2 linked regions of the Caenorhabditis elegans genome follow. The protein of the gene in region 1 purifies or fractionates together with the protein of each later gene. This does not show direct contact. Each region holds a gene or a part of one and is shown on either strand. Other genes may lie near its edges.

Region 1 (16,992 bases):
TAAAACTGTTTTAAAAATTTTGGAAATGTTAAATTAATAGACCTTGCAGTTACCTAGTTTTCCCCTATCATAGTTTTTGAAGATTGGCAAAAAATAGGTATATGGTTTTTATATTCTCATTTGTTAAACTTATTTGTGTTTGTACATTCTAGAATCCAAGCCTGCAGCGATGCTCGGTAGTTCTCAAAATTTGCAAATTTTCAGGAAAATTAGACAATTTACCAAAACTATGGCTGTACGTAAAATTAAATACAAGGCCTAACTTATTTTTAGTTACTCAGTTCATGGACTGTAACAATTTCAATCACTCACTTCGAACATACAAGAACCATCACATTTTTTCAGAGTGGAATATATAATATATTCCGGAAATTGGCAAACTGGTAAAATACCACTGTGAAACTAGCTTTAAGGTTTACCTAACTCGATCTGTTCTGAAGCCATATTTAACACCCAAAAACCCTGAGCCAAAACTCCGGAGCCCATTTTATTTACGCCTTGCAGTTTTGAATGAGTAACCCTAATAATTGAATGAAAATCTAATCAAGCTTATTAATAAAACTTTGTTATAGTTTAGACCTTTTATTTTTCATGTACAACTCTTAAAAACAATTTTTATAAAGTTATGTTACCTGTTCCGATAATTATAGTTATAGTAATACTTTCTTGGGAATTTAAATGGCATCGTGCTATTGATGAACACACGCTGAAAATATACAAATAGTAGAAATAATCAATTTGAGCAAATGCGGAAGTGTTCTTCTAACTTCACACCTGCTCATTTCCTCTCCCTCCAAATGAAAACAAGGGGAGAAATAATTTGCCAAAAAGTGGGAGGAAAGTCTCCGGGGAAAATTCGAAAATCCAAAAAAAAGAAAATTAAAAAAGAGGAGAGGACGGACGGGAAAAGTTTCATGGAAATGGTAACACGGCACAAATTGAATCTGTTTCGGCAAAAAAGGAAAGGCACGGGGAAAGAGTTTGACATAATCCAATAAATTGTCAGATGTTGGTGGAATGAGAAACGCAAAAAAAAAACAATTTACTCAATTTGCAAGCGCTCCGAATTGGCTTCTCTGGGAAACATTGAGACTACCTCAAGTTTGAACGGAGCAGACAAATTCTATTCAGAAATTGCACGTTCACAAGAAAGTCTAATTTTAGAAACTATTCAATGGTCTTACAATTTCAATTTTAGCAAAAAGTTCTCACCACGCGGACAGCGAATTATTGTAACTCGGGTCGATTAACGACTCGCTATAGTTTTTTAAATTAAAATTTGATATTTATTAAACATTGTAAAGAAATTTTGTTTTTCGTGTACAAAACCCGGTCTCGAAACGATCGAAAATTGTCAAAATCTAGCTGTCAAAAAGTGTGTGCGCCTTCAAAGAGTACCATGGGACGCGGTTTCGCACAGGAAACTACAGTACTCGTGAAGACGTACGCACCGTTTTGGTAGCTAAATTTAAATACTTTAAGATTTTTCTGTCGGTTCCAGGCCGGGTACAGTGTTCTGGAAGCATCTTTAAATCCTAAACAGGAGCTTTTTTTCTATAAAAATCTATAAAAAGCAAGCTGGCAGAACCTTCCTGAATCTCGTCCAATAAAAATTATCCAGAATAATTACTCTTGTTTTTCCCCCCGTGGTCTAGAGATTTGTGTTGATGAACAAATCTCGGCAGGGACTTTTATTGAACAAACAAAAGAGAAGAACGTCTAATTACCCAAATTGACATATGTAAGATGCTTTTCCGTCCGTGCCGTCGTAAACTTCGTTTTTGGTCATTATAGACAAAAAAGACACGTCATTTCGGAAAAGACAATGTGTTATTATATGTTCGTGGAAAAATGGCTTTTAAAAGGAAAAGTTGCTCTATTGAGAATAACTTTTAAAATCTGACATTTTTTGAGAAGCACAGCTTCCAATTTCTATTCGGAAATGTCAAAAAGTATCGTAAATTCGATCAAATATGAAATGTCACATTAAGGAACATGGTATTTTTTTGGTGGGTCTTGCCACGATCTATGTCATATGGATTTACTTATCTCGCCAACAATGACTGATTAAAAAATAATTAACATTTATTATTTAAACGCGAAGTTTGGTGATTTTTGCATTGAAAGCACGGTACCCGGTCTCGAAGCGTCCAATTTTCTAAAATGCAAAGGAGTGTGCGCCTTTAAGGATTACTGTAGTTCGCAACTTTTAGTTGCCACAAAGTTTTCATGGTTTTTCTCCCGTTACCTCAAAAACTTTTTTTATTGAAAAATTTCCAATTTTTTTCTCGATAAACTTCTGTAATGAACTTGGGAAAAATTACGAAAAAACGATTATTTGAGAACTACAGTACTCCTTAAAGGCGCTCACTCTACTGCACATAAGAAAATCGGTCGCTTCGAGACCTGGTACCGTATTTTTGGTGCAAAAAACCGAAACCCGTTGAATTTCGCATTTGGGTTATAGGAAAAAGAAACAAATTTAATTATTTTTGGAAATTGTTTCACGTGTCCCAGAGAGCGTAATCGAATAACTCACTTATTATCAATATCCTTATTCGTCGTTGCAATAACTGCGATTGAAGTCGGTGGAGCCGGGAATACAGTAACATGTTCCGAAAATCCAACTTGTTTCATGAAGGAGGTCGCGTAAGATGAGTAGTAACAAAAAAAGAAAGGAAACGAAAGAATTAACTAGACGATGAACCGATGGAAGAAGACGAGGAAGAGGGAAGACATGTGTGTGTGAGCAGGGCCTGGAGCAGCAACCTTCGAAACTCCACCCTCTCCAGGCCGGAAAAAAGAGCTGTGCAGGACGTTGCGCGAATCATGATTGAGGTACTCACGGAGCACAGGGAGAAAAAACTTGTTTTGACTATTTATGTTACTAGTCTCTTTTTCGTCGTGTCAGGTTTTGGTGTTCTCAATTACAGCTCCGCCTTCTCGTGGCTCACTAGTTTTTTCCGCTTTGCTTTGCTAACTCAATAGAATATTGTCGTCGATCTTCTGGAAAATTCCTATTAAAAATACTATCTAAATAGGAATGCAATTTTAATAGCAGGAAAATTTAAAAAGTGAGAAATGTGCAACGACTTCTTCCGGTAATCCCCAGTTGACGGATGACCTCTAGTTGTACTGCCATTTTTTTTTTTGCTTTCTTCCTCCATTCCCAGGGTCAAAAGTTTGAAGGCGAAACTGGATACGGATAAATTGGAAGAGGATTAAAAAATCGCGGTGTGTGGGAAAAAGTTTGAAATGAAGATTAATTTTTTTGAGACTAACAAAATGAAAAAAAAAAAAAACGAAAAACTAAACAAAAAAAGTTTGAAAAAATGTGGAAAAAGTAATTAGCAACAGACAACAGAACAAGAATAAGAACAAAAAAAGGAACAATTTTGGGGAATTATGGCCTGAAAGTTTCCAACATGTCGACTTCCAAAGGATGGGTTTCACCAGGAATAATCAGTGAATGTAGAGGTTCGCCCATCTCCATCTCACTCATATCTTTCATACTCGCGTATACGATCTTCTGATTGTCCCATCCAACTCTTGCCAAGCCGACAACCATCGTGTTCTCATCATAGGCACACTCTTCTCCCTTGGCTTTTCGTCTCTCATAAATGGTCAGCAGTTGTCGAGCCGCTTCGGAGCACTTTTGATACCTGGCTGGCTCGAAGATCTTCCGCCCACGCATCATATTTTCGACAGTTTGCTCTTTGGTTTTGATATCCAGCAGGCATAAAGTGTGCATTCCACGTTTACGATTCAACGCGATTTTATCGTAATAGCTCTCCGGCTGCCACTCGTCAGTCCACATTACAATTGAAACTGTTTCTCCGAAATTGTAGAGTTGTAGTCCACAACAGCCAACTGCATTCATGATGGAAGCATTGTGAATCACTTTGACCTGAAACGAAGGAAGTTTTAATTTATTTTTAAAAAAAACCTCTTAATATTTTGAACACACAAAAAATTCAAGTTATATGAAAGTTTAAAGGAAGTTTCTAGTTTTTTAGTTTATGTTTTGCACGTTCCGTGACTGGAATCAAATTTAGCTTCCTCAAATCACCGGAATATTCTGTTGCTTAGCACGCAACACCAGATCCGCATGTGTAGTTGCTCCGAACGGGTCTCCAACGACAAGTAGAGCTACGTCTTCCTTATCGGCTCCATTTAAAATCGCATCAGACTCCTGCTCGACGACTGTCCGATCGGCTTCAATGATCTCTCTTCCGTAGAACTTTTCGAGATTTGTTTTGTCCAATCCATAGCATAAAATGCTTGTGTAGGCTTCTAGATGAACGCGAGCACAGTTTCTGAATAAAAATATTTAATTTTGCATTAATTATATTTTATAAATACTTGACAATATTTAATCCTTTGACAGTGATGTCTTCAACGTCTCCAAGTCCCAAACCAATCAAATAAAATACCATCTGAAGTTTTTTTTTTTAAATTGCAGTTCATAACTAATTATCAGCTGATATCAATACAATTAATAAATAAAAGAAAATCAGTTATCGGATGAGATAATAACCGATAATATAAGGTTCCAGAAATGATGGAGCAATAAAAAATGCAATAAAATTTATTAATTTTAAAAATAAATACAAGTAATTACCCATATGAAAAAGGCGACTAAAGCTTTAAGTGAACATAAATATCATTTTACAGAATGAGATCAATCGGTTTTTGGCTTGACTATTGGTACATAATGATTGATAATTTGTTTGAGAATAAATGAATTTGCAATCAAAAACAGGCAGGAGGCCAGGAACATCAAAAAGAATGTATTCCATCCTTGGAATTCGAATAAATACGCAGCGAGAAGCCAGATTCCTTGTGTTGCGAACCACGCGGCCATTAGAGATAACGCTAGTTGTCGGGACATCTGGAAAAAGGTGGAATTTAGGAAAAAACTAGTTTTAAAAATAATAATTTACCATAATTTTATGAGCGAGTAAAGGTAGAAGAACAATGTACCAGACAAAGTACTGACTTGTGCACACTTTGTTATATGTAACAAATGCGAAGGTGGTGATAAACCAGCAGAAGGGAAGATCATCGTAATGCTTGAAGGCGAAGAACACGATCAGCACAATTTGTGGAATGAATGCTCCGAGGCCGATGATCTGTGACATTGTCGGATTCGCTTCATACAGGTACAATAGGTAGAAGTACGGCGAGAAGTTATGGGCGAGATCTCTTCTTTTGACGTGGTAGATCAGATATTCATCGAGGAATAGTTGTCCGTAGATTTGGAAGAAGAATAGTACCACCGCTGCGAATGATGTGAGAGTTACCTAAATCTTTTTAACATTGAGAATTCCATGTTTTTAAGAAAAATAACTTACCAGCATATATGCGAAGCCTTTCCAGTTAGAAACCAAACTTTTAAACTTGTTCACAACACAACTTTGTTCTCCAATTGTTGAAAGACTCAGAAAAACTGATGGGAGATAAATCAATGGATAAATCTTCAATTGGATCGCAAGGGCGCCGTGAACTAGAGCTGCAGATTTCCAGTATCCTTTTTGAAGTAGCACAATATTCAGAAGCACGACTGCAGCAACAATAGATTCTGCATTTCCTCTGGCTGAGATGATAGCGGTCAGTGGATTCGCAAGCCAGTAAATCACGACATTCATTGTTTGATCATCTTTCATTTCTTCTCGTGTTTCGCTTTTTGTTTCGTTTAAATCTTTCTCCATTATTTTAAAATACAGAATCGCCACCAGGATGTCGAAAATGCAGAAGAGAATCTTTCCAAAGTCCGGGAAATGCACAACAGGCAAAAGAATCCATGCTAGCGCAGGCGTATATCGGTAAGTGGCTCTGTCGAATGGGCTTCCACCGTTTGAGACATGTTTGGCAGCGTCGGAGAACACGTGATAGTCGATGTCTGTGAAATTCACCTGAAACACTGAGTTTAAACTTATTTTGATGATGTAAAATTATCAAACCTTGAATAGATAATCGTGAATGTGTGCGTAGAAAACGAGAATTATCCTTGCCACGAATGCCACTAGTAAAATCTGGAAGAACATCATTAATTCGATGAATTCGTTGAAAATAGACAAATTACCTTATTTCGATTGAACGTTTCGTTCTTCACAAAACTCCGGACACATTGCATTTGTGGAGAAAACTGGAATATATTCGAATATATAAATGCTAAAAACCAACAAAGAATTTGTTAAAAATTGAAAAATGCAAGTGTGCTCTAGCGCAAATTTTCAACGGAGGGAACTTGAAAATTAGTTATTTTCGGGCAAACTTGTCGCAATTTTAATTGCTTCTTTCTTTCTTTAGATATCTCGCTTTTATTCATTTTTTACTAATCTTATATGTTTTGAAAGAATTATTTGTTAATCTTCATTATGTTTTCCCGGAAAAAATTAGCAAGAATCGAGTAAAACGGGTCTAAAAACGCGCTGCATATTACATGTAATCCTATTCTAGACAAACAAGTCATGCGTTTTCTTGTTATTCCCAATTTTGCAACAAGACGCAGAGACAAATTTCAAAATCATCAAAAGTCCAATAAAAGAATGCTTCCTTGCCCCGGAGACGCAGAGAATTTTCTGGCCGCTTTCGTTATTTCGTCTCTGTCTCTTTGTCCCGCGTGCTCTTTCTCGTGAATATAATCTGCGACTCTAGTAATTTTAGCACTATCTCTCATGTTCGTTTCGATTTTTGCGCCACATTCGACTTCATTTTTCGTTTTCCAAAACTTCTTTCAAAACAACTTTTTCGCATTAATTTGTTGTCTTCCTCACTCTTTTGAATTCAAAAACGAAAATTTTAAACCACCGATTGCAATTGTTACGAGATGCAAAAACCCGACGAATCGAATGAAAAACGTAAGAACAATTCAAATTATATTTTAAAATAATTATTATTAGTTTCAGATGATATTCCTTGCACATCAGCAAGCCTTCTCGACCATTTGATTCAGAAGGAAGCTTCTGCAGCAGAGGACACTGATCCCTTGGATCATATTGGCAATATAGGAGAAGCTATCATTGGACAATTTTCGTCTGGAGCAGATGTTGGAACCGAAATTCTACAAAATGCTCTCAAAATGTTCGATCAAGCAATGGCCTACACGAATCCACAGGCTCCACCAAAACGAAAATATAAACGAAAAGAAGCTCCGATAGAGGATGCTCAACCTACCACGACTTCATCAGCTACGCTAGCTTCCTTGCTCACTCTCAATCCGGTTCCAATTGAATCTAGTGCGAAAAGATTCCATCAAAATGATCTACGAGCTGGTTTTTCGCCACGTACCAAGTTCGACGTGGATTGTTCGGATTTCTTTCTTCTACAAGGATCTGATGCTGACACTCAATTCAATAATCTCCACAAGAAGCTCGAGAAGGAGAGAACGCAGATGTTTGATGATCAAGTTTCGAAAGATGTTGAACGACTTCTAAATACCGCAAACAGAGTTCACGGTCCCCGAGAATGGACTGCCGAGGAGAAAGCCGAATTCACTTCATACTGTAGAAGCTGGCGCAGTGGAGCATTAGGGGCCGATGACAAGCTGAATCTTCAGAAATTTTATTCAAAAGCGTACGGAAAAGTTTTCCAAGGACTGAGCGAAAATAAAGCTTCATCGGAGGAATCAGCTATCGATTTTTCTAATTTCATGGGTGTCGGTAGTGAAGATCCTGCTAATCAAACAGAAGACGTACCAGGTGGAAGCTGCAAGGCTTCTCCCGACAATTTCTCATTCTCTACTTTGAATCCAAGAATGAAATACGAGAAAGAGAAAGAATTTCGGTCCGCTATCAATAATATATTCACGGAAGTTTTCAAAGAATGTAAGTGAATATTGTAAAAGTTTTTATTCAAACAAAATTCTTTATTTTCAGTTCACTCAAAGAAGCAATTCATTCCCAAACCAACTCGCCTGGACGTTCCGCCGTGCGAAATCGAGCGGGAGCATTTATCAATGCTGATGTCAAAGTTCAGTATAGCTATGGACGATCCAGAAAAGGAATGGAATGTTGATGAGCTTCAGGAACTGCGTCGATTCTATACATTATTTCGAGAAAAAAATCATTTGCCATTCGTTCAAACTAAGGAATTCGGAAAATTTCTGCGTAAAGCATTTGGAAGACTAGAGCATTATGAGCTTCAACGAGGTTTTGCAATTAATTTATGGAACTTATATGATTGTTAGTTATTTCAGAAAATGACACTTCTCTTCAAGAAAAACGAAAATTTTGGCAAGAATACAGGAAAACGCATGTACCACCGAAAAGAGGTGATTTCTAAAATAAATTTTCACATTTTATCCCAATTTCGTACATTTCAGAGCGAAAAGCGTGCGCGGCTAGAACCACACCAGTAAGACCTTATATAAAATCGAATATTGATACAAAAGGAGAAACTGAAGAAGAGAGAAGATTGCGGAGAGCTGCGTATCTTCGAAAGTGGAGGCTAGGTAATATAACATTTTTGTAATAATACATTTAACAAATTATCGATTTTTCAGCTCAAAAAGAGAAGCATTCAGCAGACGTCATGTCACAGTTCAAGCACCAGGAAGATGTCGCCTTGTGATTTCTTTGTTTAATATTAATCAACTTTTTGTTCGCATCTCAGGAAATGTTCTTTGAAAAATAATTTGTTAGATAAAATTTATTTTAATCCGAATAAATATTTTATAATCTTTTTACTTATAGTTAATACAAAATTATAAACTCTAAGAGCTTTCAAAAAGCAAAAACCGCAAAATTAAATGCAAAAAGAAATTACAAATAAATCGTTTTTGAAAATCCGCGCAAGGACGAAGTATGCGCTAACATATGATTGTTGGCGCGTTTCTCATTCCTTGCGCGTTTCCCGTCTCGGCCGATTAATTTTTCAGTGTATTTTTTTCTGTTTTTGTTTATTTTATCCGCATTTGAATACATATTTTTGGCTTATCTTCTTTGGAATTTTTTGAAAGTATCTATGAACAATTTTTTATTGTTATTTATCAATCGATTTTCAGGTAAAATGGGCCACGGAGAAGAACCATTGACCGCCACGTATAAAACGCAGAGACCTCCATGGATCGGTCTTTGGAGTGATCGTGAATAGTAAGCTTTATTCTTTTTCTACTTTTGAAATTAAATCTAATTCAATAAAATATTTTAAAATGGTAAAATTTGTAATTCAGCAAGGGACGTGCCGACTGGTGGAAGGAGCCAGGACTTGAAGACTCTGTCACGCGTTCTGGAAAACTTCGTCTTTATCGTGCTCGTTTCCGTGAGGAAGATCCAGATTGGTATGATCCAAAGGTACAGTTAATTTATTTTGAGTGATATTCGCTAATTTTTTGCGTTTTCAGGTAAAAGACGGAGAATCCCTGGCCGGACCTTTCGGACTCGATTCCAAGAAGACCAAAAATCTCACCAAAAAAGGAGATCAGCCAGGAGAGCTGTCCGAATTCCAGAACAAAGTTTACGAAGGATCCCACCAGTTTAAGGCTATCGCTGAAAAGTTTGGAATCAGCAAAGAGCATCCAGGACTATCCGTTAGTCCAACCTTGAGCGATAATATGCTAAGTGAGGAATAATTAAAATTTTATTATAAGTATCCTGCTACAAAACTTTTTTATTTCCAGCTCCAAAGGACGAGTTAGGCAGAAACGCCGTGTTGCCAAACTCTTGGTATCCTGCCGGACCCCGTTTCTTCGACAGTCCACTCAATGAGGGATCTTTCTGGAAAGGACTTGCCGCCGCCAAGTATGCTGGAATTTTGTGTAAGACTAGATTAAGATTTAAAAAATGTTCACGATAATCATAAAACATAATTTCAGTGGCTCCATACACTATGCTGGAAATCCGTGCACTCAATACAGTCTCGGTATCCGAATTCTCGCCAAGAACCTATATGAAGAGATACCTCCAACTCGCTCCATTCCCATTGGCCGTTGCATTCGCCTGGGGCTTCAGTCTTTCAGCAGCCTCATCGATCCGTCATAAGGATGATGTCCATAATCATTGGTTCGCTAGTGTTGCTGTTGGATCAACCGTGGCTACCATGAGTATGTTTTGTTAAAAATTGTAAGCCAATTTGGCGAAATGATCAAAAAACGTGGTTTTCAGAGCGTAGAAAAAAATTTTAATTCTATTTAAATGATTTCTTATGTGTTTTCATCAGATTTTCTGTTAAATTCGAAGAAAATCACATGGAAAAAATTTAAAACAGAAACTAATATATTTTCGTAATTTTCCAAAATAGAAAAAAATCAATTCAAAAAATTATCTTTCATGGTAGCAGCCACATTATCATTGTATCTCATAATCAATTAGTTCTGATTCTGTCCGAAAAAATATTTTGTTCGAAATATTTTAATAAAAATTAGTCTGAAAATAATAAAAATTCGGCTTAAAATATGAATATTTATTTTTAAAATTTAACAAAATTCTCTGTAAATCTGGCAAAACTTGTACATTTTTATTTTTTAACAAATAAAAAATCTAGACACAAAATCAAAATCTGATTGTCCTGGTTAATTCCTGAAAAATTTAATTTTTCGTTTCAAAACCACTATTTTTCCAGAGAGCAACGTTGCCCTTGGAACCACTGCCGCCATCTTCACCGCCATCCTCGGAGCATTCTGGCAGTATCAACGACACTCGGAGACTGGACTCCAAGGAATGACTGCTCATCCACAATCTGCCGGAATCTGGGGAGGACCACTTCTTTGGCAGAAGATGCAACTTGGAAATGCCGATGTTCCGACCACACGATACTGATTGGATTTTTGAATTTTTTCTAGCTTCGATTCTACAATCATGTATAAGATTTTTAGTTTTCGAGAAAGAAGCATATAGCACTCAAACTTTAATTTTTTTTTTCTTCTTTTCTGCTCTTTTCCGAATAAAATCAGCGGTCATAGCATGAAAATAGTGTCTGTGAGTCGAGACACCGGGGGAACAACAACACAACGAATCGATTGTTTCACACGCTGGCTCCCCACCCCGCTCCGTTGTCCTGGTAACAACAAGAAGCGGGCGGTTCTTAAGAAGGGATACGCGTAGCAGCACACATACATACAAACTCGCATAACTTATTCCCTCTTGCTGGTCAAAAATGTCGTTTCTTGTGCTCTTTGGAGCACTTCTTCTCATTCAGACTTCTGAGCAGATGGTTCAATGCAGGTACACGAAGAATTTGACAAATCGAGCAGATGGTGAGTTTGGAAATTCCGAAATACTTTTTTTTTAATGGTTTTGGAAGGAATAACGTTGCCCACGTAACTCTCGGAAGTGAAAATTCAAATTAAAAAAATTTGCGAATTCTTTTCTTTTTTTGCATTTTGAAAACTGCGAAATTTAGCGATTATTATCGCAAAAATACGATACCCGGTCTCATCACGACAAATTTGTGTTAAATGCAGAAAAGGTGTGCGCCTTCAAAGAGTACTGTAGTACTGTAGTTTCAAACTTTCGTTTCTGCGCAATATTAATCGACTTTTGATAGAATTTCGATACTTAAAAATGCACTTTTTTATTAAATAAATTTCAAAATCTAGAGAAAATCTATGAAAAATCCGGCAGTAGCAAGAGTTTGAAGTTACAGTACTCTTTAAAGGCGCGCACCTTTTCTCAATTAACACAAATTTGCCGTGTCAAGACCGGGTACCGTATAGTTTTCTTACAATTAATTGAAAAACTGAAATAAAATACATGACTTTTTTTTTAACCCATGAATAACACAAGAAAACAATGAAGAACTTCGGTATTCTTTAAAGGTGCACATTTCTTAGAATTTTTGAAAATCGTTCGTTTCGAGACCCTCAACCGTACTTTTGGGCAAGCTTCCATCGAACCAAGGAATTACATTTCAAATTTATTTGGAGATCACGATCATTTTCTGTTTACGCATGACTGAGCGCTTTGACTCATTAGTTTTGACGGCTAAAAGTTGATATGTTGATCTTTATATTACGCAGACGTCGGAAGATGATCATTTTTTCCATATTTTTGGGTCTCGCCACGCTGAAAACAAATTACAGTAACTCGGGCCAGGGGCCAAGGGCCGCTTTTGCATGTCATTCTAATTAGAACGTGCGTGGCCGAGTTTCTCTTTTCGCGGGCACCTGGAAAATTTTTTTGGGTGGTCTCACAGCATAACCCAAATCTTTGTTTTAGGAGGAGATGAGCACTGTCTATTCTACTATCTTCTCAACAAGGAATACGAGAAATCTGGCAGCGTACACTCACTAAGCGCATATCCTCCAAATTCCGACGAAATGACGATTACTGTAATTATGATTTTCAGAGGAGACTGAAGTTTAAATATTTATATTTTCAGATAGAAAATGTGCTTGTCAAATACGTGGAATTGGTGAAAGGATCTAGTTATCAATTCAACGTTTTTGGAGATATTTATCTGGTAGATGGGATGACAAAAGTGGGAAATTAAATGCAAAAATTTGCAGAACTGGAAAGATGAGCGTATGAAGTGGGATAAGAAAGGCGAATTCGAGAACTATGAACACTTGTACATTTTCAATTCAAGTGCCATTTGGACACCTCATGTGATTGATCACACGTAAGCTTTTTTCGCAGACCGTACATTTATATGGCTGAATTTGGGTTTAAAAAATTAGTCGAGAGTATCTCCTTATTTTAAACCGCCTAACATTAGAAATGAACTATTTTCCAGACTCTGCTCTGAAGGTGGTTGTTCTTATTCAGTCGATGACGTTGATATCTATGACGATGGAACAATCTACGCGAGAATTCAATTCAAATATCTTGCAAGTTGTACGGTGGATTATAGGAAGTGAGTGATTTCAGTAGCACATCTTAAACTCACTTGCAACCATTCCAGATTCCCTGAAGAAGACGACAGCTGCTGCATCTTCTTCACCGCCTTCGAGCCGAACGTGGAGCAAACCACGCTTGTGCTCGAAGGAAAGGAAAAAGAGAAAATGAATCGACCTGTCTACGCGCAAAAGATCTATGAAAAAGAAAAACAGCTCAGTGATATTGTTCAAGAACACTCCCCATGGGTAGTTGTCGAGAAAACGATGAGCACTTCGAATCTGGGAGGGCTAAAAAGCTTGCAAGTTATGCAAGTTTGTGTTCGAGCTGAAAAGCAGATGAGCACTGTCCGTGTTGCTCTTTTATTCCCGGTTACGCTGGCGACATATGTGATGCTGGTGAGTGGATGCGAAGGAAGTATTCTAGGAATTAAACTAAAATTTGCAGGCCTCACCTCTCTTCGGAGATCTTCGCACACAAATCTATGTGAAGCTCTTCTCCCTCCATATTCAAACATTATGCTTTCTCTACCTTTGCACCATAACTCCATTGAACGGTTTTCTTGGAGTCAGACCACGAATTTGTAAGGTTTTTTGATTCAAAACTTTAATTCTCTGACTTGAGATATCAGGCAGTAGGCACAAGTTAGGCAAATTCAGCCTTAAAGACGGTCAGATATTTTTGTGACTGCCCCCATGAAACTTTTGAAGCTCACAAATTGTAAGGAATAGTTGAAAAATTGCTAGCTCGCACAATAAAAATGAAGTGCCGTACCTTTCCCAATTAGACTTTCTCTACCTTGTTCTACTTTGACGGCTTATATCTCGGTTGTCTTTAATTTTATCAAAAAATGCTCAACTAACAAAGGACGGGAAAAATTCTTCTCTACATTTTTATAGTTAAATATTTTTTGATAAAACTTATGACAACCAAGATATAAGCCATCAAAGTAGAGCAATTGGGGTGCAAGTTGGATAGGGAAAATACGGAAAGGTTTCTGAAGAACCAACCCGGGTGGAGTACTGTAGAATTATCTTCAATATATTCTGTAGTAGCCAGTAAAACATCACCAAAATAAAAGTCTGGAAATTTCTTTTCAGACATTTTCTACGAACTGATCTTTACAATCAGCTTTATGAGCATTCTGGTAACGCTTGTAGTTATGGCTCTCAGTCGTGTCAAACGAAACGTCCCACCATCTCATCGGCTATTCCTTTCAGCGAAATTGGTAAGCGCTTCCCTAACTCAAAATCTAACAAGAATCTTCAGATAAACCGAGTTGTATGCTGTATTGAGCCGGAAAGAAGTGATGCTTATCATCGCTACGTGGAAGAGGACACTCCGGAAAGCCGAACTACAAGCGAGGTTAGTCAGCAGCAGTCGGTGATAAGACCTGGCGCCGAGGTAGAACTTAGGTCCTGAATATTTGGAAACTTATAAATTATTGTTTCAGCTCGACTACACTCAGGATTGGCGGCACATCTATTTGGCTATGAACAACATGTTCTCGGCTTTGATGTTCTCCGTTTTTCTCTTCATGACTTTCTTGGAATTCTTTTAGAACGCGGAAAGTTTTAAACTTGCTTATCATCATTTTAAAATTTTTTTGTTCACCACCTGAGCCTACGCACTGTAAAAAAATCTGTCAATCTGTCCTGTTTTCCACGCCTTATTTTTATACTTCAAACTTGATTTATACAAACTTTCCATTCTCTCCCGTACCGGAAATTTCTGTCCCATTGTGATGCCTACGTATCTGTAATATTTTTTGCGATAAAATTTTTAAAATAATTTTTTTCATAGTCTGATACACACAATCAAGTTCCGGCTTCAGAGCCATGGGAGTACGGTAGTGTCGAAGACTTTTGCACGAAGCACTTATCTTTGGACTTACATATTTTCAGCAATTCTACAAAATGTTTCAACACTTTTTTAAATCAAAAGTTGGTCAAAAAAATATAGAAAGTAATTTTTAATTCATTGAAAAAATTCTTAAAAACCCTGAAAGGTGCAATTTTCCAGTTACCTAATTATCGAGCTTTGTTTTTGCCAATTTGCATTTTATTTTAATTCCTTAATATTTCACGCTAAAAAAACTTGAAAGGATTTAATTTATTTTCCAATAAAAATTTCAAATAATCAAATTTTTGAAAAACCGTGGCCTCCCTATTCCCTAATTCTTGCAACGTGGCATTCCACAGACTCCACCCCTTCTTGAACTTCCAAATCAATTATTTCCCGTTGTTAATCAACACCGATCAACCACACCATGGTAAGTTCTATCGAGTTTCAAAAAAAAATTTCATCGTTTTTTTTTTCAGAATTTTGATGAAATTGACAAGACCTTCGGAACCAAAAACCGTGATCAAGGATATGATTTGCTCAAAGCGGTAAGTTTTAGATATGGAAGATATTAAGGCTCCCATGATAAGCACATGGGCCTGCCTTTAACCTGCCTGCCACGTGAATTCACATAGTTCTAATTTTGTGATTCCACTCGTTTTGATGAATGTCTAATCACGAAATAAAAAAGAAGTTCACGTGCAGGCAGGCGAAGGCCAGACAGACAGGCGCTTTGCCGCCTACATGAGAGCCTTAAGAGATGTTATAAAGAATATAGTTTCATTGTTCATCTCTTTCTATTTTCAGCGTCTCGACAAAGGCGATCGTTCGGTGGAAGTCTTGTGGAGACTTGCTCAAGTGATTCATGAGAAGTCAGCTTGTGTTCCAAAAGCTCAACGCAAGGCAAGTGTCACTGAAGGACTCAAGTTTGCCGAAGAAGCTGTCCAGAAGGATCCAAACCATTTCAAGGCATTGAAGTGGAATGCAGTGTTGACTGGACAAGCAACCGAATACATGGCAACCAAGGAAAAGTTGGAATGCAGTAAGAAGTTCAAGGAATTGCTCGACAAAACTCTTGCCAAGGAGCCAAAGGACACAGCTGTTCTCCATTTGCGTGGCCGTTATAAGTACTCGGTGGCGTCTCTGACATGGCTCGAGAAGAAGCTTGCTGCCACTTTCTATCAGCAACCACCATCGCATTCGTATGAGGAGGCCAACGAGGATTTCCTTGCTGCTTACAAGGTCAATCCGAAGTGGATGGAGAACACTTTCTACGTGTCCAAATGCTACGTGGCTATTAAAGACAAGGTAAGGAAGCTTCATGCAAATTTCTAAAAAATAGTTAATAATTCCAGGCCAACGCTCGCAAGTATCTCACTGAAGTTTGCGACATCGAGCCGTATTCGGACGCTGAGCAGGAGTTTGCCGATGATGCGAAGCAGATGTTGTCGAAGCTTTAGGCTTCAGCTTCCACATGACAAGTCGAGCCAGAATATTTAAATAACGTGCACAAATGCGTTGTAGTATTGTAGAAATGTAGAGAATAAAAAGTTTAAAAGATTTACTGGGTTGGCATGCAAAGAATCATAATGTTAACAAGGATGGCAGCACATTCACTTTCAGGATTAACCTTTTCCACTTTCGAATATTTTAAAATGTTCTCTTCGAAGCAGATGAATGTTTCAACATTTGCCAATAGCTTAAGGTTTCCAAACTTGCCATCTGAAGTAACAAGTATAAATTATGATACTTTATTTAACAATTTCAGATTAATTATCTTTTGTATCTGCGTTATCGTTCCAATCTGATTCATTGGATTTTAACGATACTCGAAGAAAGCCCATTTTGCCTTCAAATCTACTGATGAGCCATCATAGTTTTCAACCAACTCTGCCCTCGATTGTCTATCTTCCATTCTCACCAAGTTTCAACAACTTTATTCAGTCATTCTTCTCTGGTTCATTTCCCAACCAATCTTCCCGAATAAAGCCCATCTGTCCTTTCGGCCACATTCCTCACCTACATCCGTACTCCTTATCTCCCGTTCTTATCCAGTCTTTTATCGTCTCTGCGTCTCGCACACTGTCTCGTCGGTAATGTAAAAAAAAAACAAAAAAAACTTGAAAACTTGCGGAAAGATTTCCTAATAAAAGGAGACGAATCCGGTAGGAAATCGACAAGTCTCTGCTTCTCGAAGACTAGGTGAGTTACATTTCTTTGGCCGAATTATTTTGAAATCCTAAATTTGATAATTTCAGAGATGTCTGTAAAACTTGCGTGTTATGTGACGGCTTCGGTCACTGTCGCCACTCTTATGGTATGCTTCATGACCATGTCAACCATCTACTCGGAGGTTGATGGATTCAGAGAGAAG
Region 2 (15,568 bases), on another chromosome or scaffold:
TAGGTTTTACTAACAAAGAAGACACGTCCTGTTACAGATGCTCCAATTTCGAATGCTTCTTCAGCAGTATCAAGAGTCAACTTTAATGACATATTCTTTCTGTCAACAGCCGTGATCTTTGCTTCGCGCATTTCTCCTTTTTTGAGAGCCAAGTCAACGATTCCTCCATCAGCAGCAGTTACTTTCAGATCATCAGACAGATTCTCACGAGAGATGGTTCCAGTCCAAACTGGATTGACTTCAACTTTTAATTCCTGTTTTTCAGTCATTGTGTTAGCCCCGAAACATTTGACGACGTCTCCGATTTTGTAGTTGGATTTATACGAGAGATTGGATGCACGAACCTTTCCAGCTTGAATTTTTGATGGGATCATAGTCAATTCTGCGATTCTTGGTCCCTTAGAACTCTTGATAAATCCAATAATACGGACGATAACAGCTTTTCGCACGTTCCTTTTAACAAATTCATCAAGTGGATTCTCAGCTTTCAGAAGACTTGGAGGAAGTTCAGAGACATGAAGTCGTCCAATATTATCCCCAGGAAGACGAATATCAGCAAACAATGAGTTTCTTTTTCGATTCTCTTCTAGATTGGCGGTTCCAATAACTACACCACTGTAGACTCCGAAATTTTTGACGCTTTTTGTGCTGGTTGACACTGCGCCATCAGATCCTTCAGCTGTCTGCTTCTTTTTCTTTTCGTCTCCCACAAACTCTTTATTGATCAATGTTGTTCTTGCTACATCGTCCACATCTCCACCACCACGTGTAGCCACGAAAACTCCTTCTCCAACTGACTTCTGATCATTGAGATCGATAACAGTATGAAGTTTAACTTTTGAATCAGAAGTTGGAAGATGATTTGGATGAAGTCTTGTTGGTAAATAAATCAGACCGTCTGGTGAAACTGCGCACAAGTAATCACGACGTATTGCAACGATTCTTGATTGTTCAGTAGATGGAGTGGCCAGAACGACTTCATTAGTGGAATGGTTGATATCGACTACGATAAATGATTTTGTTGCTTTCTTCTTCTTGGTTTTCTCAGTTGTCTTCTTATCATCAACCATCTTTGGTAAAATACCAGCAATCTTCTTTCCATTGTGCTCGAATTCCACTAGCGTCAGATCATCTAATTCTTTGGTGACTTTACCATTGACTTTGGAACCAGGAATTGGATAGTTGGACTGCTCGGCGAGCCATTTCACTTCTTCAACAATTGATTCCAAAAGTGGAAGAGCATATTTCTTAAGCATCAGCTCGCCAGTTTCTAGATCAGTCTAAAATTTAAATTTCATTACACTACAAGTTTAGGTTAAACTAACACATGGATCAATAAGAAAACTCTTTTTCGTTGTATCAATGCTCTCAATTGTTCCCACAATGACTTGTCCAACTTCGAGAAGTTCGCTGGTGTTCTTGGCATTCTCTATAAGCAAGGAAAAATAAAAATAAGCATTAAAGTATAAAAATTGCTCACTTCTTTCCAGAACCTTTCCAACAAGTCCACTTCCTCCAACGAGCTCCACAAATACTCCAACATTCGTGATGACTTGCCCAACGATTCCGACAATAACTTTTCCTACTTTCAGCTCATCAATCTTCTTTGGTAGCTTCATTCCTTTTACAAAACTAGCAACAGATCTTTTCACACAGGCTCGGTTGATAGCTGCCATTTTACCCATTGGCACAATAGTTGAAATATCTTCCTTATTCTCAATCAACAATCTCTTTGTTAGTCCAATTGGAGCATCAAGAAGATCGGATAGAAGATGATCATCTACAGAAGCATAAACTTCTTTCTTTCCTTCACCGGTGAAAGTGACATTTGCTTTCTCTCCTGCCTTGGCACACAATGATCCTTTGTAGATCTTTCCAATTGATATACCTCCATCAGCTGGGTTCGGTCTCTGAACCAGTTTCTTCTCGGAATTTTGTCCATTTGCAACAGCAGCACTCGGGTTAACGTCACGAAGCACAAATACAACTCGGTTGTCCTCGATCTTCTCCACATTAGCAACTACAAAATCGTTGTTCTTCGGTGTTCCTGGCAAATGAACGGCGGATTCCTTTCTAAGAACTCCACAAATGTTATTGAATGTTCCGAGAAGAAGAACTCCCGTTGGGAAAACCTTTCTGATAACGCATGGAACAGTAACTCCAATCTCCAACTCTTGAACACTGTTGACGGACGGACTTTTCAATCCAAGAATAGACTCTCGACATGTGACGATTAAATTTTTTCTCTCGTCGCAAATCTGCCATACACGACATTTTACTTCAGTTCCAACTTTATAGATGTTCTTCATTTTTTGCGCAGGAAGTGGCTTATCCGAAAGCATGCTCAAAGGAGCAAATGCTTTTACAAAATTACACACCATGAAGTAAACTCCACTTTTTGCCACGTGATGAACACGAGCATCAAGTACATCTCCACACTTTGCATCCTGAAAATATAAAAATGGAATATTTAATTTTACTTTTAATTACCTGATATTTTGTAATTTTTTGATTCAAAATATCTTTTCTCGTTGAAATGGTGATCGATCGGTCTGCATATCGAAATCCTGTGACTCGACACAGCTTTTCCGTTCCAACTTCATACTCAGTAGAAACTTGATCTGGTTTTTCCAAAAGTCCTCGAGATGACACCGCAGTGACCAATGACTTTTTTCCATCGATAGCAGGGAGAGCAAAGTACACCATACTTTTGGTTGGGAGTACATCAATTACAGTGCACTTGACTTTGTCTCCAATTGAAATTCCTTCAAACGATGTTCTTTTTTCGATACGACTGGCAGCAACAATATCTGGGTGTGCATTGAGTACAAGGATTTTTGAATTTTGTTGACAGAACATCACAATTGCTCTAATGGCTTTCCCGAGCTTCTCCGGATTCTCACGAAGGCGCGGAGGCAAATTTCGGCGAGGGAGAATTCCTTTCAGGCCATTTCCAATGTTTACAATGACTCCAGCAGTAACTGCGTCTCCTGTTGGCTCACATTCGAGAATTGTTCCAGGCATCAAATGGTTCAGTTGGAGCTTCTCACAAGACGTCATATTCAAATTGTCCTGCTCCACAAAGGAAGTTACTTTTACTACTCTTGACGTGGAAGATAGAACTCGAACAATAAGTGGCATTCCTTCTTTCAATCCTGCTGCTGGAAATTGCGATTTCTCGATGAATCCTGTTATTTGATCAAGTCCAACATCCAGAATAGCACCCTTCTCCTCAATACTGACGACGGCGGTATGAAGAACGAGACCGGCAGCCAACATATTTGGAGAGAGATGTTTGTTGAGCCGAGCTGGGTTGCAAGTTCCTTTCACCTTCCCTTTGTCGTTACCTTGCTTCTTACTAATCACACGAAATGGAACCATCTGGCCGAGTTGAAATGCATTCTTAATCTCAATTTTTTCCTCGTTGAAAAGTTCCGTAAACTTCTTCGAGACTTCTGAAGCATGAATCTTGACGGTATGTGTACCAGCGGTATGCAGAAGAACTCCATCATCGAAAACCTCAGAAACTACCCCAAAACCTGTGAGTCCTTCAATGAAGCAGTTCTCCTCAACCTTCGGAATCCAGCTAGATTCTTCTTTAGCTTTCTTGGCCTCGTGTTGTTCTGGGGCTGCGGACTTTCTCTAAAACTTGAATACTTAGAATGAAAAGAGAGATAATAACAAACCTTTAGCCCTCCTTTCGTTCCTACAAAGTCCGAGTTGGATTTGTTCAATGGTTTTGGCTTGTCCGAACCACCACCACGCGGGAAGCACTTTTCGTTTGTTACCTCATCTAGTTTAACCATCTGAAACAAAATATTCATCACCCCGGAAGAGATATTACGAGTAAATAAAATATCGACAATTTTTTGAAAACAAAAACATGGCATTTTCTTTTTTTTTTTCGGGGAAAAATTAATGAGAAAATGGAAAATAAAATTGTAAAAAAATTCTCGGAAGATAAAAGTGTGCAATCACCGCGACGGACTATTGCGGACTCGCATACCGTAGCCAATCAAAAGAAGAAGAAATGTTTTCGAAAAATAAATATTTAGAAGGCGAGAGCGAAAATGTATAGTTCTATTTTTTAATTGCTTAACAAAAGCGACGTATTTAGCAAAAAATGTTCAGAATACGCCAAGAAAAAGCTAAATTCTAAATAGGGAAGATTTCGTTGTATGATGAATAAAGTTGAAGATTACCGTAGTAAATGTGTTCGTTGTGAGACCTGCGCTCGTAATAACTTGGTCCTCCCTTTGAAGAAAATTTTGGTCAAAACACTTGATCTAATTAGAATTGTGTTGAATTTGAAAACCAGATCATTACCAAATCCCTCTTTGGTATATCGAAGCGAATTATTTCAGATGGATATTCATTGAAAAATGTCAACATAACGGGGGTAACGGCAAAAACAACAAGGTTAGCAAACAGGAACAGAAAAATTGGAATGAAGTGGTCAATGATTGTCTCCGACGAATCCGTTTGTCTTGAACAACTTGTTCGACTTGACTGCCACACGCAGATCGAAACGACGACGGAAACGCTCAACGAACTTCATGTCTCGAGCAACCTTCTTGGCCGCGACAGCTGAAATATTATTTTTGTTACATTTCTTTTTATTTCTACTATTTGATGTCATAGAATTCTAATAAAACTTACTCGTAGTTCCAGTCCAAGCGAGAGCTGGATAGAATCCCTTTGCTTTATCGAGTGCTGCTCTTGAAACAAGTCTCTGTGTACCATCAACTGGGCGAAGGTATTGTTTGAAATATCGATGAAGGTTACGGTGTCCAATTTTAGCTCCAGAAGGGAGAGTAAGCGACCATCCATCATCAAACAGTTCTGACTTATCTTGATCATCTCCATCATACATCGGACTGTAATCATAGTAGTCGTCGAGCTCAATCATGCTTTCAGGATCTCTGCGGAGTTTGCAGTGCTGCTTATCTCGCATGTGCTGCTGACAACTCTGAACTGATTCGTATCTGGCTTTAACGTCTGGGCAGAAGATACAGCAACGACCAGCTCCAACTTTAAGTCCCAAGTAGCTTAAGCATCCAAGTTCATCGCTCAAGTATTGCCTGTCTGGAAGTTGGAATCCATGATGGAAGTTCATATGAGTACGCATTTCATCCATATTAGGCTTTGTCTGTGGACAAAACAGACAAGATGTGACTGGAAGAGCATCATCCTCATTTAGTTCCTCCACACCTTCCTCCTCATCGTCAGTTTCCCATCCACTCGAGTCATCATCTTCATCATTTTCAGGTTCCTTTAGTGACTCAGGTTTCTTTGGCAAATTCTCTGGCTTCTTTCTTGGTTGCTTTGGACCTTTCTTCACATCATCCTCAATCTTCTTCTCATTTTCCTTGTGCTTTTTGCTAGCTACGTGATCAGTCATTGCATTCTCCGATTTGATTGATTTCCGACAAGCCTTGCAGTACAATGGTTCAACTGAAGCAGCAACGACTGGCTGAAAAATTGATAATGAGTAAGTATTAAGCGAACATTAGAAAACTTTTCCCCTACCTTTGTTGGGTTGAACGATGCAGCTTTCTCATTGAAAAGCTCAATTCCTATAGCTGGAAGCTCAGCAGCTTGTCTTTTCAGATTGTACCGATGCCATTCGGTTTTGTAATGATCTCTCTGCAGCTCGGCTGTCTCGAAGACGACACGGCATGTTACACATGTGAACCCTGTAGATCCATCCATTCTGATAGATCTCTGTAATAAAATGTTTAATTTAAAGCTTACAAGAAGAAATTTAAATAAATTGGAAAAAATATGCAAATGGTCAGCAATAACCATTTAAACAGATGAATAATAAATGATAATATACAATGAAAATACAGCTATATTTATTTGTTCAGTGACGTTAAATTCATAAAAAACAAAACAAAATTATTCGGTCTACGAGTGAGCTCGTTCTACTTAAAATCAATCGCATTACTTCCTCATAGTGGCCTATTTGGAAACAGTTGGGGCAGCAGCTGGTAGTTGGGTTTGAATTGACGCGATCTCCTCATCCCAAGCTTTTTCGATTTTGGCCCAGTGAGTCAGCAACTCCTTCTTTCTCTGCTCACGAGTATTGAAGTAGTAGGGGAACTGTTCACGTTCAGCCAATGTCCATTGATCCGAATCGACAATCTCATCCGGCGACTCGCGTTCACGATCATAACTGGAACCTCCTGGATCGAGAGCAAAACGGAAAGGCTTGAAATGACGTTTCTCCCACAATTGACGGCATCCGTCGGCAAGAAGGATCTGGCTCTTACGGGTGTCAACCTCATCAGCGTTAGCGTCGAATCGAGCACGGATAATACACTTTTGGAAGCGAACTTCCAGATTGTTTCCTCCATACCAGTTGTCAACTTCGCGAAGACAGCGTTTGTAGAGGCGGGTGACCTGAAAATGCAATAATTCGCTACATTTTAAACAGACGAAATCTCCAATCAGATTAAAAAACAACGCTACCAATTTCACAAACGACTAAAGCTTTTCAAAAATAAAAATTACCTTCTGTCTATGGCTCAGCGCCTTCGTGAACATCCACGCCGGCGAATCCATGGCTTCCTCCCGGTCTTCTCTGAAAACAATGGGTTTTATAGAGTACAAAAATATGTGATTGGAACAATAAAATAAAATTGGAAAAAAAACCAATCAGTTTAATTTTTAGTAAACAAGGAAAAGTAACAATTTTCATTTGAATTTTTGGGTAAAAGAGTTAAAAATTAAAAAGCAAATAACAACAACACAATTGGAAGAGGGCGAATAAAAGAAAAGAACAAAAATAACGATAACAGACAAAATGGAATGCGAAGTTTTATGCCTTGACCCTTTGTCGTGGCTCCGTTTCTTCTTCGTATTCAATCTCAACATGAGCTCGTTTCTTGAGCTTCTTCTTCTTTCCATCAGCAGCTTTCTTCCCAGTCTTTTTCTTCGGCTCCTTCTTTACCTTCTTCTTTGGTGGCTCCTCAATTTCCATTGGCTCATCACCTCCTTCCTCATCATCTTCATCCGAATCCTCTTGTTCTTGTTCTGGCTGCCAATTATCCTCGTTCTCACTGTCAGTATCTCCTGGTGACCAATGTCCATCACCTCCGTCTTCCATGTCCTGATCCTCATCGTCGGAACTATCAAAGTCAGCGACGAACTGAGTCTCACCCGTGTCTGCGTCGTCCTGCTCGAGTTCTTGCTCCACTTCCAACTCTTTTTCAGTGTTTTCCAGCATTTGTTCGAATGCCTCTTGACGGAAGTTGTAAACATCGCCATATGTTCCTTGTCTAAAAGTTGTTTCATTCAAAATGTGCACTTTCTAATATATCAACTCACTTAAGTCTGGCTAAGAGCTCTTTCTCAATAGCGTGATCAAGTTTAGCTGCAACAAGTGCCTTCTCTTCACGACGTTTCTCACGTCTTTCCACTTTCCGTCCAATTGGAATGAGTTTCTTCTGGCTGAAAATAAATAATACTATGCAAAATTCAGTTTCTATAAGTTTAAACTTACTTTCCACGGACTGCCATTTTACGCATTCTGATCAAATATTGATGAATTCGGATGAGACGAGCTTTGCACTTGTGTCTAACATATTCACTCCAATGAAGAAGTTGATCACTGATTTGTTCCAATGCTTTGTTCATATCCTTTGACAACTTTGTCTTTTCCCATAAACGACGTGGATAGTGAGATCGTTCGACAACTTTTGCGTACAAGTAACATACTCCGTTCTCCTCACGAACTGTTGCATACTGTGAGTTAGCCAATGGACACGAAGCTCTGTTGCACAAACCAGTCAAATTCATTTCATTTTTACAGAACATTTTTGGCTTTGTCCACGCTTTGTAGGCGCATTGTCCCTTGTTGAGAATGTTCCAAGTCACATCGTCGCACTGCATTTTTACCCAGTTTCTGAAAAATTCGAATTTTTTGAGTTGTTTTTCACACGAGAATTACTTCGATAAAAGGAAAAAGAAGCAAGAATTGATTGAGAAGAACGGGCAAAAAAATTGTGAAAGAACCGAAAGTGTGCGTCTTCGCGTGGCGGTGTTTGCACACTTTGTCAGTCCCGCGTGCCTTAAGGCGCCTTCTCTCTATTTTCATCTTTCAATTAAAATTTAAAGTCTCAAACAAATATTTTCACAGGAAATAACTGGGCCACAGGAACGCAATTAAAATAATATAAACACCAGAGAATATTTATTCATTAGTTAAAACAAGCAAACCGTATTTTAAAGTATTCAAAACAATGGAAATGTACTTGAAACAAACTGTTACACCGTACAATTGAGGATATGAATAGTAACATCGAAAATTGATGTGATAGTGCATGTAAAAAATCTAATACGTTTTATTCTAGTAATTCAGCAACCGGCTCCTCTTTCGCTGGAGATTCAATAGCTGAACTGGTTTCTGTTGCTGGTGCATCTTCGTCACATTGATCTTCCCATGTGGGACCTTCATCCAGTTTTTTCGCCGCCTCAATCTCATCTTCGGTCATATCGCGTTCGACTTCAACAACATACTCTTTTTGTTGCACTTTTTGCCACCCTTCTTCCTCGTCTTTCCACCAATCTTTTGGAGGTGAAGATACTAAATTACTTGTTGTCGGAACGTTACTTTCTTCATCGTCCGAATCGACATCGCTCCCCAAAAGAGCAAATTGGTTTTGTTGTTTCAATGGGATTGGGGCAGTTATTTCCTGGAAAATAAAAATATTGAAATCTGAACAATGCCAGACAAAAATTATATATTTACCTTCATTGGACGAGCTTCTCTCCGAACTACCATTTTTTCCGTACATCTTAATGGTTTCATGAGACCTTCTGTTTCTTCTTTTTTACTCAAAGCTTGATCCATTATATCTTTTCTAATAACAGCAGGTCCTGGCGTCTTTAGAGCTCCTTTGTAGTTTACAAGATCACTAATGAGAACGAGAGGCTGATGAGATTTTCCTCGTACTGCTGTGAGAACGATACTTCTTTTTGGTGGACTGTCTACACTTTCTGAGGCGATATTGAAAAAGTTGGCGTATTCATGCACGAATCTTCTCTTCTCAATACTCATTGCTGGCAGGTGAGCTCGAAAAGTGTCGTGGTAGGCTTCACCCTGTAAAAAACTATATGTATGCCCACAATTTTAAACAAATGGTAGCTTACACTTAGAATTTGAATAACCAGATCAATGAGAATCTTTTCAACAGATTTGACGAAATCAATGTTGGTTCTAACCATCTCTTTCAGATAACAAGGGAAGGAAATAGTTGGAGCGAGTTTGTTCATTCCATATTCATCTGTATCAACTTCAAGAGCTTCAGCAACTTTTCGATTTCTTTCCAATTTCTTGCATTCGTCATCACATTTCATGCAGTTAAGTTGAGAAAAACTTGTTGAGCGCTTGAGAATTCCTTCTTTGACCACTTTCTCTTCACCATCCGATTCAGATTTTTCTTCTTCTTCCTTTTCGAGTTTTGATAGAATCATTTTATCAACTTCACAGCATGGTGCGTCCTTTTTAATTCGTCCACATTCACAAGAAATTCTCACACTTGCTTTGCATGGGCTTGGCTCACACGGAGAATCTTCGTGACATGGAAGTGCGCAAGGATGTTCGCAAAGCTCTCGGATGGTTTCACATTTTTTCGTGCATTTCTCCCCTTCTTTCTCACATTCTTCACCGTGACATGTTCTTTGGCACACATGAACTCCACATTTGAGGGGTTTTTTGCAAACCACGCCACATGAAACTGAGTCGATATGACACGGTATATTTTTGCGAACTCTATGTCCACCATAACACATTTTTTCGGTGAGCTGTGTGCATGGAGGACAGTTTTGTTCACCATGGCACTTATGAGAGACAGAATGATCACAACTGTGTGGACGGACACATGGTTGGGAGCACACTGGTAGACGAGCTCCACATGGAATCGGAGGCATTCGAACTGTGTGACCACAATGACAAAATTGCTCATCAAAACTGGCTTGCAGACACGGACGGCATTGTCCAGCGTGACATACATTCTCACATGTGTGAATTCCGCAAGAAAGTCGTTTGTTGCACATTTGCAGACAAAAATGTTCATCTTGAATACAGCAAACTTCTTGGCATTTGTGCATTCCACATGACTTCTTTTTTCGACATCTTTTTGTGCAGAGATATTCACCAGCTGAAAATATATTGGTCATAGATCAAATGAAGACATTTGAAACTCACTGGTTTTCATTATTTGCAAATATTCGTCACATGGAATGACGCCTTTAGACGTTCCACAGCGACAAATTACGGATGTATTGAGATTGCATGGAGGGCAAGGACCTTCGTGGCACTTTTCTCGACAATGATGATTCTTTCCAGGAGTTCCACAAGTTAGCCATTTGTCACAAACTGAATCACAAGTTGGAACCATGTCTGTACATTTTTTCCTAGTGACTCCAAGTGATTGAAGTGTGTTCCTTCCACATGGACACGTTCGAATTCTATTGGCTCCTGTTTCACATTCTCCACACTCCTTGTCGTGACATTTCTTCGTACAATGATGAATTCCGCACGAAAACATTCCATCACACTCTGAGCCACATGAATATTTCTCGTGTGCACACGGATTGCAGGAAACTTCTTTTGGCGTTTTGCCACAAAAACAATCTTGTTCTAGAATTACAGTACACTCTCCACAATCACCGGAATGACAAATTCTTTCGCAATTGTGTTGGCCACATGAGAGTTGCTTTCCGCAGACTGTTTCACACTGAAAACATTGAATAAAACTAAAGATACAACTAGATTTCAAAATCTCACCATGACTTCTTGGTCAGATCCGCATCTCACACTTTTTTTCGTCTTTCCACAATTGCATGATTTTGTTGTAAAAAGCTTGCATTCAATGCATGGACCAGGATGACACAGTTCAGTACACGGATGAGGACATCCGAACTTTCTTGCACCACCGCATGTCTCTCCGCAACTATGTGGAACTTCTCCAACTCGGAAATTAGGATTTCTCATACGCCCACAGAAACAATAATAATTGTAAGGCATGGTTTCGTTTTCTGTCTGGCAGGTTGGACACCTCCAAGTGTTTGCACCTTCTTTATCTCTGCTTGATCTCGCCCAATCAGTAATACATCCAGTTGAAATGTGGAAAATATGATAACAGGTTTTACAGGACCAAACTCCTTGTCTGGTTGTGATTCGAGTGTAACAAATCGCACATTCATACTTATTATTTTCCAGAAGATATACCAGACCCTCTCTGAGTGGCTTATCCGCTAAAATTTTAGTTTCTTCTTCTGTCAGCGGTTCTTCTTTTTGTTCCCGTCGACGAGCTCCTTGGCCTCTTCGGCTGTTCCCAGGATTTCGAGATGGGTTTTGCACTGACTTGTTTTGTTGATTTGCAATCCTATCCACATTCAGTTGATTTCTATTGTTCTGTCTTGATTGATTTTGTGGATGAGAATCGCCTCTTTGTTCTTGTATTTCGAGCTGACGACGCTGTGTGTTCTGCTGACCACCACGTCTTCTTCTATTTTGCGATGGCTCCTGTTGTCTGGAATTTTGATTCGAATGTGTCGAGGCACCAATCGTCGGTGGAGGCACAGATGGATCGAAGAGAACCGACTGTGCTGGGTTGAATGTCGCAGCATTGGGGTTGAAGGTGAAATTAGCTTCTGGCTGCATTTGTAAACGGCTTGCAGAGGTAGCTGAAATTTAAACAATTAGTTTAAAGCTCTTTAAAGTTATTTTTGCCTTTAATTACCTTCTTTTTGTCCTCTGCCACGTTTGTTTCCACTACCACCACGATGTCCTCCTCTCGGGTTCATCAAAGGCGCCGCATCTAGGTTATCTGCGGTATTGGCTCCTACTTGTCGAGGAGCTTGACGGAAACGACCTCCTCTTCCTCGACTTGCTCGGTGACGGGAAGAATTTGTGGATGTTGGAATACTAGATGATGTTCCTTCAGTATCGGCCATAATTACTTTAGTCTGTAATTGAAACAGATAAATTATTGGAAAAATACTTTTCTTTTATATATTTGTGAAATTTTTTTATTTGAAAACGCGAAACATTGAGAAAAGCGATGCAATGTTGTGCAATAGTTCAGATGACATGACCGACCACAAACTACACATTTGAAGGGACATTGATTTTGCCCGCGTTGTCTCACCACGCGCGTTACACACGCAAAACGAGTGTTACCGTATACAACTTTTAGGACATTTTTCTTCGCTTGCTACATTTCCATTGCAATTCATTTTAGCCAATCATAGGGCACTTTTCTTACCTTTGTTCTTTCATTAATTTTGTTAATTTCTTTAATCTTTACATTTTTACAATAAACTCGACATTTTATCATCTTCTTTCAGGTAATCCGCATCAACCATGGGTCGCATGCACAATCCAGGAAAGGGAATGGCCAAGTCGGCCATCCCATACCGCCGCTCCGTTCCATCATGGCAAAAGATGACCGCCGAGGAGGTCCAAGACCAAATCGTCAAGATGGCCAAGAAGGTTTGCAATTGATCTGAGGAGTTACTTGGTGCGATTCCGATAACTACCATATGATCATCAACTGGGCTACCATTTTTCCAAGTTTGAAAATGGGCCCAGGAAATGTGAAAACCGAGTTTTCGGTGTCCATTTCCTTTTGAAATTTACGACAGGCAGAGATTTTGTATTTTAGGGTCTTCGTCCATCCCAAATCGGAGTTATCCTCAGGGATTCCCACGGAGTTGGACAAGTCCGCCGTCTTGCCGGAAACAAGATCTTCCGCATCCTCAAGTCCAAGGTAATAATGCAATTTTTATATCAGTATACGCTCTTCAAAAGCACTGGTTATCGGACTCAGACTTGTCCATGCCAGCCGTCAAAATGAGCAATATGAAATATCCTGTTTTTGGGTGAGGTGTAACTGTATTTAGATTAGATCTCAATAACACGATGACAGTTTTCGTAGAAACTAGTAAAATTCAATCAACGTCTTTTTCTAGTTTAATTATTGTTTTTTCAGGGAATGGCTCCAGAGCTCCCAGAGGATTTGTACCATCTCGTCAAGAAGGCCGTCGCCATTCGCAAGCATCTTGAGAGATCCCGCAAGGACATTGACAGCAAGTACAGACTTATCCTCGTCGAGTCCCGTATCCACCGTTTGGCTAGATACTACAAGACCAAGCGTCAGCTTCCACCAACCTGGAAGTACGAGTCTGGAACCGCTGCTTCTCTTGTTTCATAAGCATTGTTCTGACAATAAATCGTTGTTGTTTCAAATAATTCTTTTTTGTTTTACCAGTAAATTCAAGTAAAGGGCTGTTCCCATAGATTGGAAGTCGTTCGGAAATTTGACGTTGTCTTTTGCTCACATTTAGCACTTGATCTTCGACTTTTGGATTGACTCTTCGAGCAAGCATTCTATATTCGAAATACTTCCATTGCTTTCACATTCCAAGAAGTTCAACGATCCAATGTCTTTAGATTTAATGCTAACAAAAAATAAAACGAATATTTAATAATCCATCAGGATACAATAGAAAACCTCGTAGACAACATAAACTGAGATACAATAATGAAAATCTGGGGATATGTGGTGAGAGCTCATCTAAATGTTCGATGCCCACGATCTCTTCCACTCTTTCCAGCATCACGTGCAGGCTCTGCTATTCTTGATGCCTTTGGAAGTTCTTCTTTTTTTTCTTTTCGATCATCTTTGCGATCTTTTCGAGAGGACGATGTTGATTTTGAAGGCTCCTCTAGATCAAACTCAATCGCTTTTCGAGAGCCTTTCTTGTCATCTTTCTTGGGAACTGGGTCGGGAAGCTGAAATAAATCACATTTTCGAAAGGAAAATTTTGAAAATAGCTTGAGAAAACGTTAATATCTTACCGCGGGTCCTGCCACTTCAAGCTTCTCATCGGACGGCTTGCTTTTTTGCTTCTGATCTTTGAGAATCTTTTGTTCTTTCTGGTTTTCTCCATTTTCTCGCTTCCTTTCCTTATCCTTTTCTCGTTCCTTATTATCCTTCTCCAACCGTTTCTCTTTTCCTGTTTCTTTGTCTTTCGATCGTTCTCTTCTTTTCTTACCTTCTCCTTTTTCAGATTCTGTGTCCTTCGGAGATTCTTTCTCATCTTTCTTTGAAGGTTCATCAGACCGTTTTAAGCGATCAACAATTCGAGTCTTCTTTGCAGGAGGGGGACTTGGAGTCTTCACTTCACCATCTTCAGTTGTTGGCTCTTTCTTTGATTCTTTTGATCCGTGGGATGATTTCTAAAATTATAATAGTTAGTTCAGTTCTGTGAATTTTAATAATTTATGTACTCACTCCAGGTCGCTTCTTTCTCTCTTTGTTATCTACTGTAGCTTTCTTCTCTGTTTCACTTCCATTCTGATGTACTTCATCATCTTTCACCACTTTCTCCGAACTCGTCGTCCCATTTTTCTTCGAATCTACTTTAATCTTCTTATCAACTGGTTCCCCATCAGCTTTATCTTTCTCATCTACCACTTTTTCTTTTTTCTTTGGTTTTTCAGCACCGACCGACACCTTCTTGTTGGGAACTGGGGCGTAATCCGAATTTTGAGCATAAATCTTCACAGTTCTCATCTTGAGCTTTCCAACATACGAGGCTGCTTTTAATGATAGATCGTCACGTTTTCCCTTCTCTCGATCCTTCAACTTGGTTACAGCTGTTTCCATTGTGGCGACTGCATGTGATATGACTGGAAATCCAGATGTCAACTTTGTCATCATAATCAATGAATTTCTGATAAGTACATAGTCAGCATCATCTTTTGTGAAGACTGTCTTAAACATGGCAGTAAATCGAATTTGCCATCTATAGCATAACTTTCGGAAAGTTTGATATTCAATTGCTTGTTTTGTGATCATTCCTGGAAATCCTGCACATTCCTTCTCGAAAACTTCTTTCTCCGAGTGCCATCTTTGAACAGTGCAGAGCAGAATTTCAAAGAAGCATGCCAGCGAGTTGGCTTCGTTCTCGGTGAGCCCCGCGATCAGAGGAATTATGTTCTCGAAGAGTCTGTCAATGATCAGAACCGATGGGAAGAATGGAGTCCGCATTTCGTGAAGCATCATGAAGAATTGACCACAGAACACTGCATCAAGTTCGGAGAATATGGCACGTGGCAGGAGGCATTGTTGAATGAGAGCTTCCAATACAGCTGGAAATATTGGAAAAGTATTAAAGCGGATTTCATGCATAAACTTACAATTATGGAATTGCTCATCAATCAACGAGTCTTTCTTGTTCAGAAGCCATACTTTACAACGTTCCACGTGCTCAATTTGCCTCTTCTGCTCTTCTCGAAGCTTACTCTCCAACTGTTTATCAGTTTTCTTAGCTTTTCCCTGAAATAAAAAATAGTAGATTATTTATAGATGAAAACTAACATGACTGTCTTCTCTTGACTGTTTCTTTAAAGCATCAAGTGTCCGTTCATATGCAGCTGTCGGAACTTCGATATCATACATTGTCAGCATCCAGAAAACAGCGAAGAATCTGAAAGAAAAATTTAGCAAACTGGGCGAAAATTTGATAAAAACTCACTTCACAGGTATAT

Evidence for each region.
Region 2: the proteins of nduf-11 (region 1) and C16A3.5 fractionate together in Caenorhabditis elegans (co-fractionation; one large-scale study listed by BioGRID). This does not show direct contact.

The regions. Positions count from the first base shown.
Region 1 is NC_003280.10:11,337,636-11,354,627, reverse strand, and holds nduf-11 (Complex I-B14.7), read left to right. Parts: upstream 1-9,007; 5' UTR 9,008-9,012; coding exon 9,013-9,095; intron 9,096-9,175; coding exon 9,176-9,296; intron 9,297-9,346; coding exon 9,347-9,563; intron 9,564-9,622; coding exon 9,623-9,760; intron 9,761-9,817; coding exon 9,818-10,045; intron 10,046-10,563; coding exon 10,564-10,760; 3' UTR 10,761-10,907; downstream 10,908-16,992. Other genes in the region: clh-2 (Chloride channel protein), read right to left, coding at 2,540-2,637; dph-5 (diphthine methyl ester synthase), read right to left, coding at 3,404-3,907, 4,070-4,316, 4,363-4,436; pigm-1 (GPI alpha-1,4-mannosyltransferase I, catalytic subunit), read right to left, coding at 4,682-4,891, 4,944-5,303, 5,355-5,915, 5,964-6,035, 6,086-6,136; B0491.6 (DNA helicase), read left to right, coding at 6,833-6,863, 6,906-7,829, 7,881-8,153, 8,201-8,275, 8,327-8,455, 8,507-8,574; lgc-20 (Neurotransmitter-gated ion-channel ligand-binding domain-containing protein), read left to right, coding at 11,098-11,197, 12,159-12,271, 12,322-12,402, 12,449-12,561, 12,676-12,795, 12,844-13,174, 13,224-13,359, 13,877-14,004 and 2 more; rmd-3 (Regulator of microtubule dynamics protein 1), read left to right, coding at 15,046-15,048, 15,098-15,166, 15,426-15,926, 15,974-16,078; Cuticle collagen sqt-1, read left to right, coding at 16,879-16,992.
Region 2 is NC_003281.10:6,371,790-6,387,357, reverse strand, and holds C16A3.5 (NADH dehydrogenase [ubiquinone] 1 beta subcomplex subunit 9), read right to left. Parts: upstream 6,587-15,568; 5' UTR 6,568-6,586; coding exon 6,517-6,567; intron 6,406-6,516; coding exon 5,965-6,405; 3' UTR 5,841-5,964; downstream 1-5,840. Other genes in the region: let-716 (rRNA biogenesis protein RRP5), read right to left, coding at 1-1,280, 1,326-1,429, 1,481-2,447, 2,491-3,642, 3,687-3,806; znf-622 (C2H2-type domain-containing protein), read right to left, coding at 4,457-4,587, 4,660-5,473, 5,530-5,712; C16A3.6 (Protein MAK16 homolog), read right to left, coding at 6,824-7,283, 7,333-7,455, 7,508-7,896; nfx-1 (Transcriptional repressor NF-X1 homolog), read right to left, coding at 8,349-8,699, 8,756-9,106, 9,157-10,166, 10,214-10,745, 10,796-11,697, 11,754-11,967; rps-13 (Small ribosomal subunit protein uS15), read left to right, coding at 12,377-12,505, 12,678-12,782, 13,005-13,226; thoc-2 (THO complex subunit 2), read right to left, coding at 13,586-13,807, 13,874-14,254, 14,310-15,169, 15,218-15,356, 15,399-15,507, 15,556-15,568.